Linked DNA regions of Nothobranchius furzeri. The protein of the gene in region 4 interacts with the protein of the main gene of each other region in a pairwise test. Links are inferred from orthologs where the notes say so. Each region holds a gene or a part of one and is shown on either strand. Other genes may lie near its edges.

Region 1 (4,291 bases), on a different chromosome or scaffold from region 4:
GAGACGTAGCTTCCTGCTATGCTGACCCTCAGCTCGCCGAGAAGGAGTTGGGCTGGAAGGCTCAATTTGACTTGGAAAGAATGTGTAAGCTCCTGATGAACCACACGCTTAATAATGCGGGACGACTCCTAGATAATGGCCTGATTTTGTTTCTCGCAGGTGAGGATCTGTGGCGTTGGCAGTCCATGAATCCCACAGGATTCAACAGCACATCTTGATGCAGCTGATTTGTTTCTAAAATGCTGCAAAAAATTTAAAATGATCACTTTTTCAGCATTTTTTTTCCTATAACCCATAAACTTAATCTCAGGCCTTAATATATATTTGCAATCCATTTTCAGTCTGTTTTTGAAATAAACTGCAGCTGAAGAAAATCTTTTCAATGTTTTTGTGCATTAAAATCACAATAATGAAATAATTAATCATAAGTAATCTAAAATGTTGTTTAATTTGGTTTTTAGGTTGTTGTTTTTTTGTTCGTTTTTTGCAGAAGCCAAACTATAGAGTGTATATAAATGGAGATCTGCAGAAATCCGGTGTTAACCTGAGCTCTGGGAACGCTGTGGTGGGTTTTAAAGGGACACTGGGGCTTTAAGTGGCTCCTTGGACCTTCGGGCACCCTGTGCATAAACACCCACGTCAGCACACACAGCTCCAGTCGCTGTGGCCGGGTTTCGGTCTTTAGGGCTGAGCAGGAAGTGCTGGCTGTGGACCCTGGACGCGCGCAGGGTGGGGGGGAGCCGAGCGAAGCGACAGAAAGCACCAGAAAATGGACATGGTGGCAGATTTAGGGGCGAGTCGACTCTACCGGGCGCCGGGTGAATCCAGTCACCAGTGAGTATCGATGGCTTTTCTTTGTGGGGCGTAAGCGGGTCTTGCCGACACCTCTCGCCTGAGATGGAGCCTCTCGGTGCGGGCAGCAGGCTGATCTCGCTGCTCTCCGGACCTCCGGGGAGAAGTGGGGATAAAAAAAACCGGGTGTGCTGCCGCCTCGTTCGTCTAGGCTGATTAAATCAGCGCTGATGTGTTTATTTCAAAGCTCGCCAGCAGCAGGAGGGTCGTGAGGCTGTTTTCTATTGTGTGCTGGCTGAAGCCTGAAGTGGGCGTCGCTCCAGGACAGACGGGGCTGCTCCGGTGCGGCGCTGCCCGCTTTTCTCTCGAAGGACTGCAGCGCTACCGGACTGTTTTCTAGGTCAAACGACTCCTTCAATCGCCGAATTGATCTCCACTAAGATCCCTTCTGGTTTTAAATGCTATTTAATAATAACCGTGGTGCTTCCGGCGGGTGTACCGTGGGTTATTATCGGGCGACGCGGAGCCTGATTCAGATATTTCATATCTAAGCTGCAGAACGGGGAAAGAAAACGAGGCTGCAATATAGCTCGGTGCTGAATAATTTTATTCTTTAAGGAGTCCGGCTGCTGTATTTAATTTCATTTTCTCATCCGGCCAGTCGTGACTAGTTGGACGGCTGGATTTCCCAGCGCGCTTTGAACTCAGCACAGGATTGATTAAAGTGTTTGTCACCCGATGCTCTTCGAGTCGGGCGTTGCACATGAAAAAGATGTTCTGACTGAAGGATTGCTCAGCCAATCACAAATCAGGAAGAAGTTGGGTGGGCGATCAGAACTGGAGGTGTTCCAGTTTAGAGAGACGGTTGTGTCACCCTCAGCTATGCTTAGGTAAGTCCATAGGGTCAGCTGAGTTTGGGAGCGGTTGCTGACTCATCAACACTTGGATCAGTGTGTGAACCACCTTTGTTGTTCGTTTGTTTTAAGGAAACTACATCTCAGAGTGTGTATCTGTTTTCCTCTGCTTGTCCGAGGCCAGCTTTTCTGGGGAAATCCTAAGGTGTTCCCAGGACAGACGGGAAATAAAGTATATTGTGTCCTAGGTCTTTCCTGGTTGAACATATCGTCCAAGAGGCATCCAAACCAGATTCCCACGTTACTTCAATTTGCTCCTCTTGATGTGGAGGAGCAGTGGATCTACCTCAAGCCCCTCCCAGATGACCGAGCTTCCCACCCTGTCTCTAAGTGAGAGCTCAGACGCCCTGCAGATGGAAAACATCAACCCCATTGAACTCTGACTGGCACAATGCCATCCCACAGCAGTGTGTGCCCAAGCTGGTGACCATGTTGTGGCTGTGTCTCCTCCACATGAAACTGAGGCCCCTGTTTGATTTGTTTCCTTATGCTTCAGTCATCAAATCCAAACCACACCAACAAGAGTCGGGAGATTTTGGATGAAACCCACAATCTTAACTCTGTTCAACTTATAAATCTGCTAATGTGGCACCAGGATAAAGATAAAACTGATTTTCCAGCAGTATAATGGTGAAACTTGAAAAATTAGAATATGATGCAAAGTCTATTTCAGTAATCCATCTTAGACTGAGAGACCATCTAAAGGAGAAGAAAATATCATTTCTATAGCGCCTCTCAAGATAGAAATCACGAGGTGCTTCACAAAAACAAAAAATGTAAAAATATAAAGAATTAAGAAAATGTTTAAAATATGTTTAAAATGAGCAAAAAATAGACAAATGTGATTAAAAAATGTAAAGAAAGAGAGAGAGTGAATAGGAAAGAGGGAAATCAGTGGATCCTGAGGAAGGTGGAATAGGTGGGGAGAGCAGAATAAAGAGAGAGTGGTGAAGAAGGTCATCCAAAAGCCAGCTTGAACAAGTGAGTCTTCAGCTGCTTTTTAAAGGAGACCACTGAGTCCACTGATCTCAGGCTCAGGGGGAGAGGTCCAGAGTCTGGGGGCCACAGCAGCATATGTTCTGTCACCTTTGACCTTTAGCCTGGTGCTGCACAACCAGTAGGCTTTGATCACTGGACCTCAGGGACCTGCTGGGGGTGTTTGGACTAAGAAGATCACCAATGTAAGATGGTGCTTGTCCATGTAAGGCTCTATAGACCAGAACCGGGATCTTGAAATGAACCCTGAAGATGACTGGCAGCCAGTGAAGCTGGAGGAGAAGCGGGGTGATGTGGGTGTGTTTGGAGGACCTAGTCAGAAGCCGAGCACAGGCATTCTGAACCACCTGTAGACGGTTCAGGGAGGTTCTGCTCAGACACGTGAAAAGAGAGTTACAGTAGTCTAAGCGTGAGGAGATGAAGGTGTGGAGAACTTTCTCAAGTTCAGAGCGGGACAGAATGGGACTCAGCTTAGCAATGTTCCGGAGATGGAAGAAGGAAGAGCGAACAAGAGAACTGACATGAGAATCCAGGGTGAGAGCTGGGTCAAAGGTCACGCCAAGATTCCTGACAGAAGGTTTGGTGTGGGAAGCAAGCTGACCAAGAGAGTCTCTGACTTTAGGAACCAGCTTGTCTGGGGCACAGATGAGGATCTCAGTCTTATCTTCATTCAGCTGTAGAAAGCTCCCAGCCATCCAGGCTTTGATAGAGTCTAAGCAGGTGTGTAACAGCTGCAGCTTAGACATCTCATGGGGCTTAAAGGAGATGTACAGTTGGATGTCATCTGCATAAAGATGGTAGGAGATTCCTTTGAAGGAGCTCAGGATGTGCTGAAGAGGAAGCAGATAGAGGAGGAAGAGCAGAGGCCCCAGCACAGAACCTTGTGGGACACCATGGGTAAGAGAGGTGGTGGAGGACCTAAACTTGGAGACGGCCACAGAAAAGGAGCGCTCAGAAAGATAAGAGGAGAACCACTCCAGAACAGTTCCTGATTGGCCTACCCAGTCTCTCAGCCTCTCCAGTAGCAGGTGATGGTCAACAGTGTCAAAGGCTGCAGTCAGGTCCAACAGGACCAGAACAGAACAGAACAGTCCCCTGCATCACTGTGAGTCAGAAGGTCATTAGAGACCCTAAGAAGAGCTGTTTCAGTAGAATGAGCTCTACGGAAACCTGACTGGAAGCTATCATAGATGTTCTGTTCATCAAGAGCAGCTGTGAGTTGTTTAGCCACTGTCACATTCTGCTCCTGCCTCCCTGACTGTGTCTCTCCCCTGCCGTTTATTAGTCCCTACTGGTTTCACCTGCCCAGGTGTTCCTGATTTGCCCCTGTGTATTTATACCTCCCTTCTTGTATCAGTCTTGGTCAGATCATTGTTTGTTGTCAGCGTTGTTTTTGTTCTGTCGTTCCCGCTCTGCCATTAAAACTACTTTTATTTCATCCGTGCCTGCATTCCTGCCTCCTGATCTGCTCCACCACACGTGGTCTGCCGTCATCCACACCCTCAACATGACAGCCACAGCCTTTTCCAAGATCTTGGAGATGAACGGAAGTTTAGAGATGGGTCTGAAGCTGCTACGGAGAGAGGGGC
Region 2 (3,730 bases), on a different chromosome or scaffold from region 4:
GGTTGTAGAACCCAAAAAAGGCGTTCTACAAGTACAGGCCCTTTACCATTTAAACCCAACAGCAGCCTCAGACCGAACGTGGTCCATCCAAAGGACTGAACACTCGACAACAACAGTTTAGGGTGTAGCCAACGCTGCAAGGTGGAATGTCCATGTTCTGGACAGAGACGGTGGAATTAGTGTGACTGAGGACGTCCACATCCAAAGACTGCTCAACATGGCAGCTCCTGTTAACAAGATCTGATGGCTTTCTGTAATTTATTTGTTTATTTGAAGTTTTAGTATTTAAAGTGAGAAAACATATTGTGTGCGGATGAAAGGGTTTCCAGAACCCAAAAGAAGTCCAGTTGGCTTCTTTTGATCTTTTTCAGCAGGAGAGAAATCAGCATCTCAGTTCATTTCAGAGCAAAGTCGGTAAGATTTTAATGTTTTAACATTAACAAGAAACAACAAAAACGTGGCTCATCAGAGCCGTGGGTTATTACACAATTAGAGGATCATAATAATGTTCTGAGATGGTAAGCTCTCGTGTGTGTTTTTAAATGATTAATAAGAAATGCTTGGGTCTGTCAGATTTATTAAAAAGTTGACTGCTTTTCGCTGAATCCTCCATCTTTTCGTTGATTCTATAATTCATGTTAATATGTCTCTTCTTTGGATATTTTTCAAATAAAATTGTGGAGGTGCTTCAAAGTACGAAGCACAAGCTGGTAAATTTAGATTTGATTAGTTGCAGTGTTTGATGGCCTGACTGAAATAGAAAGATAGTAAAAGCAGTTGAAGCAGGAAGATGGGGAGGTTGATTAGAAAAAGCTGATATAATAAAGTCAGAAACAGTCAATTATAGAATACGATGTCAGTCATATTTCAGTGCCTTATTTACCTGCTTTATTACGCTAAGAAGCAGCCTGACCTTTATGGTAATATGAGAGAATTACAAGAGAACATCAGTCGGTGCTTATTAAACCTGCTGCCTGCAGCGCTGCACATCACGCCTGATAATGTGAGGCCATCACCTCTTTTTAAAACACCTGACCTGACTACACGCCTGGAGAAATACTAATGAAACACCTGAGACCTGACCCGATGCGGCCCGACTGACCAGCAGCTGATCTGGATTGGCTGCTTTGGGCTGCAGATCGGTCATCGGCATTCACGTGTCATACTTTCACAGCTGCTTTGATCTTCTCTTGGTGGCAGACATGGAGAGAAAATTACAGTCGTCCAGCTAGATGCTTCCTCAAATGGTTTAATGCTACAGGACACACACATATACACTATATATATATATATATATATATATATATATATATATATATATATATATATATACATATACATATATATATATATATGCACACACACACACACATTCTGTATATTTTAATCGCTCATGACATGTCACTCACTGGTTTTGTCTTCTTCAGTTCTCATCAGAGCTCCTCGCCGGCTCGACTGCAGAGTTTTGATCGAGACAAAAACATCTCGTTTTTACTGAAGGAGCTGGATGCTTTGAGAGAACTCAACAACAAAGTAAGGGTCTGGATCAGCTGATGCTCAGCTGTTGTTGTAGGTTTTAAACACAAATACTCCAGAATTAATGAAGTAAAGCTGCTTGTTGTTTAGTAAAATCGTGTATTTGAACAAAATCCACATTTTACATTAACATTAACATTTACATTAACTGTATGTAACTGAATGTTTTTCAGCTTCAGGAGGAGCTGGTTCAGAAGGAGAAGAAGCTGCAGGAAAAGGAGGTCAATGAGGAGCTGAAGGAGGAGCAGAGGGAGGCTCAGCGCTGGGAGAGACCTACATGTAAGGACAGGGGAGCTGGGGAGATGAAAAGCTGGAGGTCTGTTTATTCTGGGCTGTACAATATTAGAGAACGAGATGGAGATGTGGTTGAATGTTGTGTCAGATGTGATCACTCCTCGTCCTCACCCCTCTTTCTGTTTTAGTTGAGGGTATGCGGGGGGGTGGGAGTCAATCAGATGGTTGTGTGGTTAACTCATAGACCCTTAAACTCAGCTCACTTGGAAGATGTCATTCATTTGCCTCTGATTTGTTGTGAAGTACTTTGTGATTCTGATATTGTGGTGATGATAAATGATTAAATGTCCCAGTTTGCACGTTTCAGTCACATCTGATCCAAATGTGAAGGATCACATGTGTCAGTGGTAGCCAGTACTCTTGAGTGTGCATGGTATTACTCAGTGACTGGACTCAGGGCAGGTTGAACATGCGGACGTTGTGTCTTCAGGTCCATCATATCCCTACCTGAGTAGACCTGATCTCAGACTCTTAAGTTCCTCTGCACCACAATACCAGATATAAACTTTGTGTGTCCATAACTTTGAAGGGTCTCCTGACCTTCACTCATCATCAGATGCTCCTCCAACCAACTGGTTGCGCTATCATGCCACTTGTGATTCCACTTCTTATTTTTTCTGAGGCGTGTTTGAGTGACCGCTCCTTGCATTTCAAAGGGTTTCCTTACTCATCACTGGTCATCATCGTGATCCATACACGTCCAGGTCCACCTTGTCCTTACGAGTCTTCAACTTTCCAAATTTTTACAGATGTGTCCAAATCTTTAGAGAACAACCCAAGTGTTGGTCTCCGGTTCTTTATTCAGTGTGTGTAGATCTTTCTGTCAGATGTTTCTATGGTTACTGAAGTCGAATTACATGATTTTTTTTCCTGATCTACTTAATTTCTGACTTCATCAGACTGGTCCAGTGCTCCATCTTACTGGAGAAGACATTGTTCATTACTAAACTGTTGTCTGATAGATGGAGGAGTTTCTCTGGGAGGATGTTTTGGTACCAGTATTTTCTCATGGCTGTCCTGAGGCTAACCTGAGCCTAGCCAGACTCTGACCCGGTCAGCTGGGGTGTTAGCTGTAAAAAGCTGAACAGAAATTAGATTGAATTCATCTTGATAGTTATGATAAAACCGTCGTTTTAACTAATAGAAGATATTTAGGGGCTCACCTGAGAAGTCTTGGATGTTAGTGCTGACCCATAAACACAATGCTCCCGCTTAGCAGAAGAAGGGGATGTGAAAGCAGACAATTTGAATTAACCATTATATTTTAGTAGTCTCCTCCTCCATGCTGTGTAATTGCCGGTTTGAGTAATCCGGATTATTTTCCCAGGAATGAGTGTTGGTGGGGAAGAGTGGCGGTGTGATCTGGGTGGTTTAGATGTGAGCCATGCACGTCCTGCATGCTGCTTCTCCTGGTCTGCAGCTCTGTCGCTCACCTCTCGTCTCGCAAACTCTTTATTCCTCTGGCTTTTTAAATGTGACCTGAGATTTATTTAATTTTTGACCAATTCCGCTCTTCCTTTGGAGTCCTCTGATTGTATTTAGCGCACTAATAATTCATGTGATGTTTTAAATGTTGGAATGAAAACTCTAATTCACTGCTTTTCTCTAATAACGTGGAAATAAAACCAGCTGTGTTTCTGTAACACCAGTGCCTCGCCATGGGTCTCAGATGAGCTGCCATCATTTCTGTGTTATTACTTGTGGAACACACTCTGTGTGTAGTAATAATGATCTCTGCTCTGATTGGCTGGTCAGTTGGAGGTGAAACTTATTGGATTCCTTCTCTCCTCACCTCCTTTCCTTGTCTCCTTCTCTCTCGATCCTTTCTTTTTCTTTATGTTTCACCTTCTCCTTTTCTTCTCTTCCTCTCAGTGATGTTGGAGGAGGTGCTGGCAGCTCA
Region 3 (4,177 bases), on a different chromosome or scaffold from region 4:
AATGTAGTAACTTTTAGTAAACATCACTCTCCCCTCTGACTTTTTGCTTTCTAACTGTACAAGTAAGAAAACTGTTTAAATTTTAGCTGATTACTAAGGTCAAATGTTATCAGTCAGTTAAGGATTTGTAGACAGGAAATGAGTGGCTTGTGCGGAGGCGTGCATGCTTCTGGTTTCTTACCACTGCCCAATCTCATGAGAAGTACATCTTGCAGTCTCCTGTTAAAGTCCCTCAGTTCTTTGACTTCTGTCAGCAAGCTGCCATACTCTTTCAGCTTCTTGGCCTGCTGCACTAGCTGCCTACGGGTTCTCTCCAGCTCCTGCTGCAGTCGCCTCATCTCCTCCTCCTGTTGCCTGTAGCTGTGAACCAGCTCCTCGTACAGAACTCGAGGAACAACAGCGGCGGCTACCTCCGACACGCAATCTGTGTCCATCTCCAAATGTTGCTGTTGTTGCTGGTGATGATGTCGCCGATGTGCTGCCTCCACATCGTCATCTTCGTCATCTGCATCCCCTCCTTCTTCAGCCAGCCGATCCTCATCCAGGTCCTCTTCACCCTCCATACAGGAGTTGGCTGCATTCCTCTCTAGTCGTGCCACAACAGCTGCAAGGCTCTTGGAAGAGTTGGAGAGGGGGCGTCCATGATCGTGTGACAGGGCCTGGAGAAAATAACTGTCATTTTAGGGTAGAAATAGGCCATTGACCTGATAACTGAGCTGCAACAAAATGATCAAGAAACTACAATGTCCTGAAACAAAAGAACTAACTAAAGAGAGACAAATAAGTAGTAATAATATCAAACAATCTAATTTTTTTTATTCAGATTTTTATCTCAACCCAAAATCCAGAACTTTCAGTCTCTGGAAACCTTTCATAGAATTTAACAAAATCTGCTGCTGAATGAGAGTTTCATCCTAACACCTTACCAAAAATGTAACTTATTTTAACTCTTCTAAGCTAAATGAAACGATGTCACATCAGATTAAAGCTGACATTACAGACAGACTCCAGTCAGCTTGTTTAGACTGTGCAGATCACAGCAGAGACACGGACGAAAAGAGTCACCGAGTTCTTTGATGAGCCGCTCAGCGGATTTGCTGGTGAAAGGGCAGCTGTCCAGAGTGCTGAATTTGTGTGTTAATCCAGCATATGGTAAAAATAGCGTAAGGGATTTTGGATGTCAGCCAAGTTTATGAAAATGTAACAAAGCATCAAATTTCATATCAAAATTAAGATGACTTCTTTAACTACAGAAATATTACATAATGTTGATCAAGCTAATTAGGGTTCTTTCTAAAGTATATACATGGTCAAAAAGAAATATTACTCTTATTTGGTTCACTTGAATTTATCTTATGAATGCCTTGATGCAATAAATATAATCAGACTTTGTGAATGAATGTATAATATAATTTATATTTGTGCTGTTGTTAGTAATAAACAATATATCCTCTGGTATAAAAAAATGTCACTAAATGATTGTAAACAACTCATTTACATTGTTACCTTTTTATGCCTGAGTGGCATCCTCTCCTCTCCAAAACGGTTCTCAATAGAGTTTCCTGAAGACTTGATGGACATCTTGGGAATTTTCATCTTTTTTTGTGTAATGCTGTCTTCAAATTCTTCTACTGTATCTGTGAATCCAATAACAGGCAGTTTAGGTACCAAAAAGTGCAGACATCTTAAAAATAAAAGAGAATCCACACAACTGATCACAGATAAGTTCAGTTTAATATTTTAATCATGCATCCAGCCTCTTCAAACTAACCTTAGGGGTGTAAGCTATTAAAATCCATGTTTCAGCCAATCTGCCACTGATTTGTCTCATAGCCCAAACGACTGAGTCGCAGGGTTAGGGCTGTATCACCATGTATAAGTATAAAAACTTGTGTCCATACCAAAGCAGCAGCAAATCAAACACATTCGCCTACACAGTTTAACAAATCATCATTGGTTTTCGCAAAACCAGAAGGCTACTGTGTAACTATGCACGGAAGTGTCACGGAAACTGCAACACCGCAACAGTAAAACGAGCTACAGCAAAGCCACAGACAAGCTAACCGCACAGACACAGTCAGAGTAACAGTTATACAACATTTTCAAACCTCAAACAAACTAAGATATTTAAAAATCCTGTATGTCAGAGACGTTTGTGTAACGTCAGGACAGTTCTGCGTCGGGTTTGTTACCCCACCGGAGCTAACGTGCTAATGAAAAAACGGATATAGCATGCTAGTACCGTTAGCTTCATGTTGTAAACAATCGTTGCGACTCGCAAGCGTTACATGAAACCACGAACACTGCACTTCAGAGCCAGGACACATAACCGCCAGCACAACACACTGCGTTAAACCCAGCTTTGACGAAGTATGACAGCCTTCTAAACTTAGCATGTCTTGCTAGCTACGGCGGAGGACGTTGTTGTTTCTGTTGTTTCAGCTGTTAAATTCCAGCTGATCGCGTCCCGACTGTTCGGAACGAAAAGACTTGCTTTGACAGCTGTCTGAGTGAAGTTAACAGCAGCGTTACTGCTCTGACAGAGAAAATTAGAATCGGTAACGATGAAAGCAAAGTGTCCGGAGGGTAACTTACCTGCAAGGGCAAGAATCTGTGCTTGGCACGGCTGGCCTGCGCAGCCATTCTCCTCAGTTCTGTGAACCAGATACACCTTCTGATGATCAAAATCTGTTCTGTGCAGAGGTCTGAAATCTTCGACACTTGAAACGGGTAACGCGTAGCATATATCGTCTTCAAAGAATCTAACAAAAGCATACATTATTTAGTTGTCTTTGGTCCTGCACTTTGGATATGGTTGACAGTTTTTCCCTCACAAAGTATTAAAAAAATATATACCCATGAGGGGGTTGGTGATGGTGTCTGCACTCGACTACTCATGCCTAGTCCACATCACCAGCGTAAATTATCAAGGCAGAAGTAATAGACATGACACCCACAAGCAGACATTAACATGGCAACTTCTCTCCGAACATTTACATTATGAATAACAAATGCATGTTTATGCAAAGAAGTGTTAATTTAAGATATTATTTAATGTGATTCACTCCTGGAAAAAAAGGGAGTTTAATTATTTATTTTTTAAAGAGTAACTAAACCCCAAAATAACTTTTTTGGGCTTATAAACCATATAATTGGGTCCTTACAAATACAATCTCTCTGTTTCTGTGCATTTTTGACATGTTTGTGTAAACTTAATTAAATCTAGAATCTAGCTCTAAAAACGTCTCAGTGCTGCCCCCCGTGGCAGAATGGCGGCTACTGCATTTTAAACTTGTGATTGGCTGGGGCTGGAACAATTTCATGTCATTGGTACAGTCTCCTCCCACTACCCTCCCTCCTATGGAACTAGGATGGAAATTCCCCACACTTGGCCATGCCGCGCTGTGCCTCCTGGCAATGCCCACTTTCATGGCATTTTCCAAATCTTGACTAGAGGTGGAGTTACATTTTCTGATGGTGTGCAGTCCCTCTTTAAGTTTTAATTCTCTGTTAATTTAAAAATAATATACACATGTAAATAAAAAAAAAACATTTGACTGGGAAATGTGACTATCGGTCATGTGAATATTCTAAACAACAGAGTTAAAAAAAATAAAGTCACAAACATTCTTGTATTAATATTCCCTAAATTTTGATACGTTGATTTTCTATTTATTTTAACTGGTCCCATTTCCTTTCAGCTAGCTATTAAACTCTTTTACAACTTTGTCATTTTTAAACCTAAACACAAAGTGACATTGGGAAACCCCAGTCTCCTCCCCGGTTGGCTCAAGAGCCCCTGAGCTTAAAAAAATATATAATAATATTAAAGGTAATTTTCTGGTTTGCTTTGCTTTACACCCTGAATCACACAAATCCCCTACTTCGATTTAAATGAAAAATAATTATGTGTGTTTCAACAATGTCTGTCACATAATTTGAGATCTATTTGCTTGTAAAAAAAATGTACTTAAAAAGACAACAAATCAGACATTGCACATATGACTTAGATATCACTGCAGAATCTTTTCTCCCCAACACAGCTGCCACCTTCTACATGGCCAGATACATTTTTTTCCCATGTTTAATGCTCCTTATTTCATGCAGGAAGAAGGATGCAAAGCTAACTAAACTCAGTAATTTTTTTCTTCTTCATCGGTTTAGTGATGTAAATTTG
Region 4 (2,398 bases):
ACACACGCGCGCACGCACACTCACACAGCCTGACGCGCAGAATACGGAGTGCAGAATATCAGCAGGGGGACAGATTGAGACAGAACATCATGCGTCTGTGACAGTGTGTACTTGTACAGGGGAGATCTCCGTTTGGCTGACTGGTTAGCATGCCTGACTTTCACCTGGGAGTCTGGGGATCGAATCCCGATTGGACCACTTTTTTTTATATCCGCCACAGATCTCTCTGAAGAACTCACAGCATCGACGGCTTCAGCAACGCTGTGCCGCTCCGTGGATTTTCTCTTATTTGTTTTGCAAAAGCACTTCCTTTCATTTCTCCACCTCACCCACAGGTACCTCAGTTTCTGTTTCTGTGAAATTGCGCTTCCTTCATCTGCCTTGATCTACGGTCGCCATCGTCATTGGCGGAGCGCTGCAACAGCCGGCTTATGTACATGCATGAGATCCACAAGGCACTAGTTTGCATTGACCATTTATGGCAGTAAGTGGGCGTGGTGAGGACGGGATGTGACTAAAATGCAGCTGAGAAACTTTCTCGTTAGTCTCCGATTTATGAAGCAGAGATTGCGTGCAGCTGTGTGTACTCCATGTTTGATAGATCACAAACCAACTTGGCGTAAGTACATTTGTTTTTGCTGAGCTTAAGTACGGTTGTAGTAAGGATTCTACGCTATGTTTGATAAATGAGACCCCAGCTCCCTTTTTTCAAAAGCTTGTTCCATTCCACAGGTTTAGGAAAGCTGCAGGAGGGTCGAGTAGAGCCGGTGATGGCGGTGGTGCTACCGAAGGGGAAGTCTCTGGACGAGTGTGCAGAGCTAACACAGAGACGCACTCAGAACAAGGCTGCGAAAGACGGAACACAAGCTTCCCGCCCGAAACGCCGCCGGAAGCCCCGAGTTCCCGGAAAGCGGCAAACTGTGTTTGACTTTTTAAATCACAAGCTTGGAGACAAATGCACAGATCCTGCAGAAGGGGGCGCTGCTGCGCCATCGGCAGCGACGGCGACCGGGGTGGAAGCTTACAGAGCAGGAAGGAACGCCAAGAGGAGCCTGAATGTGAAGCTGTTCCAGGCTGCTGAGAGGGTTGCTCAGACTGAGAGGGAGATCCAGAAACTGAGCGAGTCACTGAGCAGGCAGACGGGCAGGTCGGTCCAGATGTGTCTCACAGCACTTTATCAGTTCTGGTCGAGTTCAGATAGCTTTTATTTCTGATCAGATGTATTTAAAGTAACATGAGAGCGGTAGGAGTTGTGTGAGAATGTAAACAGGATGTGAAAATGTGAGGTGAGATTCTTGTTTCCATAGCTACCAGAAATCCTCTTTACTTGTCACCCCTCTCGTCCTCCTCCTCCTCCTCCTCCTCCTCCTCCTCCTCCTTCATGCCGGGTTTGTTTGTGTTTTGCACAGAGATGCTTCCAGAGTTAAGCAGCTGGAGGAGCAACTGTCAGGGGCTCGCCGCCTGCTGGCCCAGCAGAAAGCACAGGAGCTCTCCATCCAGAGCGAGCACAGGAAGGCCGACACACACAAGAAGATGACCGAGTTCTGATACCCACTTTTTTATTTTAAGACTTCAGAAACAGAAAGGAGGCCTCCTGAAAATAAATGTTGTTTTCACTTCAGTTTTGTGTCCGGATCACTTCTCACCGGCACTTTTCCATCTTTTTTTCTTTCACTTTAAAAAACAAAAGCTTTCTTCTGGCAGAGTTTAAAGCTACAATAATATAAAATAGAAGTTATGAACAATTTTTCTTCACGACTAAAAGTCTTGCTGAACTTGTTGTACTTTTATTTCTAACTTACACAACTTTACAAATAAATCTGGTGCAAAAAAGACTCCGCTTCATTTATTTACTTTTCTACGTTTTCTTTTCACTTTGGCGGGAGTTCTGAGTCATGCTGGCCAGCGGCTCCTCAGGTGCTTAGTGCAGTTTACTCCCAGTATCATAGTGGTTTTAATGTCACATCTCATGTGAATTATATACATCACATCTGTGAAGCTACAACCGTAACCTCTGTTAAATTAAATTCAGAGGTGGAAAGTAACAAGTTACATTTCCTCACGTTACTGTAACTGAGTAGCTTCTTTTGTATTCCATGCTGTAGTTCTTTTTTAAAACACAGAGCAGGTAAACAAAACTGCTCTGTGTTTTAAAAAAGAACTACAGCATGGAATTAGAGATACGACACAGCAAGAACACACCTAAGAAGCTTTTTTTGTATATTTATACTTTTTAAGTCGTTTCTTGAATCTGTACTTTAACTTTAACTTGAGTACGTTTTTAAAAAAAGAATTGCAATTCGCTACATTTGAAATCATATCTGTTACTGAGTAAAAATAAATTGTAGGCTTAATAAATTAAACATATTACGTGTAGCAGTGTCGGAACAGAAAGAGA

Evidence for each region.
Region 1: the proteins of zgpat (region 4) and zbtb8a interact in binary tests that used the Homo sapiens proteins (3 or more experiments, as listed by UniProt). The two-hybrid records come from large-scale screens. The link is inferred for Nothobranchius furzeri from reciprocal best matches to the Homo sapiens genes ZGPAT and ZBTB8A.
Region 2: the proteins of zgpat (region 4) and mipol1 interact in binary tests that used the Homo sapiens proteins (3 or more experiments, as listed by UniProt). The two-hybrid records come from large-scale screens. The link is inferred for Nothobranchius furzeri from reciprocal best matches to the Homo sapiens genes ZGPAT and MIPOL1.
Region 3: the proteins of zgpat (region 4) and bend5 interact in binary tests that used the Homo sapiens proteins (3 or more experiments, as listed by UniProt). The two-hybrid records come from large-scale screens. The link is inferred for Nothobranchius furzeri from reciprocal best matches to the Homo sapiens genes ZGPAT and BEND5.

What each region holds. Positions count from the first base shown.
Region 1 is NC_091758.1:35,826,815-35,831,105, reverse strand, and holds the start of zbtb8a (zinc finger and BTB domain-containing protein 8A), read left to right. Parts: upstream 1-1,396; 5' UTR 1,397-1,530; coding exon 1,531-1,682; intron 1,683-4,291. Other genes in the region: gale (UDP-glucose 4-epimerase), read left to right, coding at 1-84, 160-218. UniProt on the Homo sapiens protein: May be involved in transcriptional regulation.
Region 2 is NC_091758.1:16,364,899-16,368,628, forward strand, and holds part of mipol1 (mirror-image polydactyly gene 1 protein), read left to right. Parts: intron 1-1,427; coding exon 1,428-1,533; intron 1,534-1,709; coding exon 1,710-1,815; intron 1,816-3,702; coding exon 3,703-3,730.
Region 3 is NC_091748.1:56,176,931-56,181,107, forward strand, and holds the start of bend5 (BEN domain-containing protein 5), read right to left. Parts: upstream 2,967-4,177; 5' UTR 2,780-2,966; coding exon 2,596-2,779; intron 2,525-2,595; exon of another isoform or gene 2,397-2,524; coding exon of another isoform or gene 2,243-2,396; intron 1,908-2,242; exon of another isoform or gene 1,772-1,907; intron 1,638-1,771; coding exon 1,507-1,637; intron 660-1,506; coding exon 182-659; intron 1-181. UniProt on the Homo sapiens protein: Acts as a transcriptional repressor.
Region 4 is NC_091755.1:51,593,880-51,596,277, reverse strand, and holds the end of zgpat (zinc finger CCCH-type with G patch domain-containing protein), read left to right. Parts: intron 1-732; coding exon 733-1,147; intron 1,148-1,409; coding exon 1,410-1,548; 3' UTR 1,549-1,835; downstream 1,836-2,398. UniProt on the Homo sapiens protein: Transcription repressor that specifically binds the 5'-GGAG[GA]A[GA]A-3' consensus sequence. Represses transcription by recruiting the chromatin multiprotein complex NuRD to target promoters.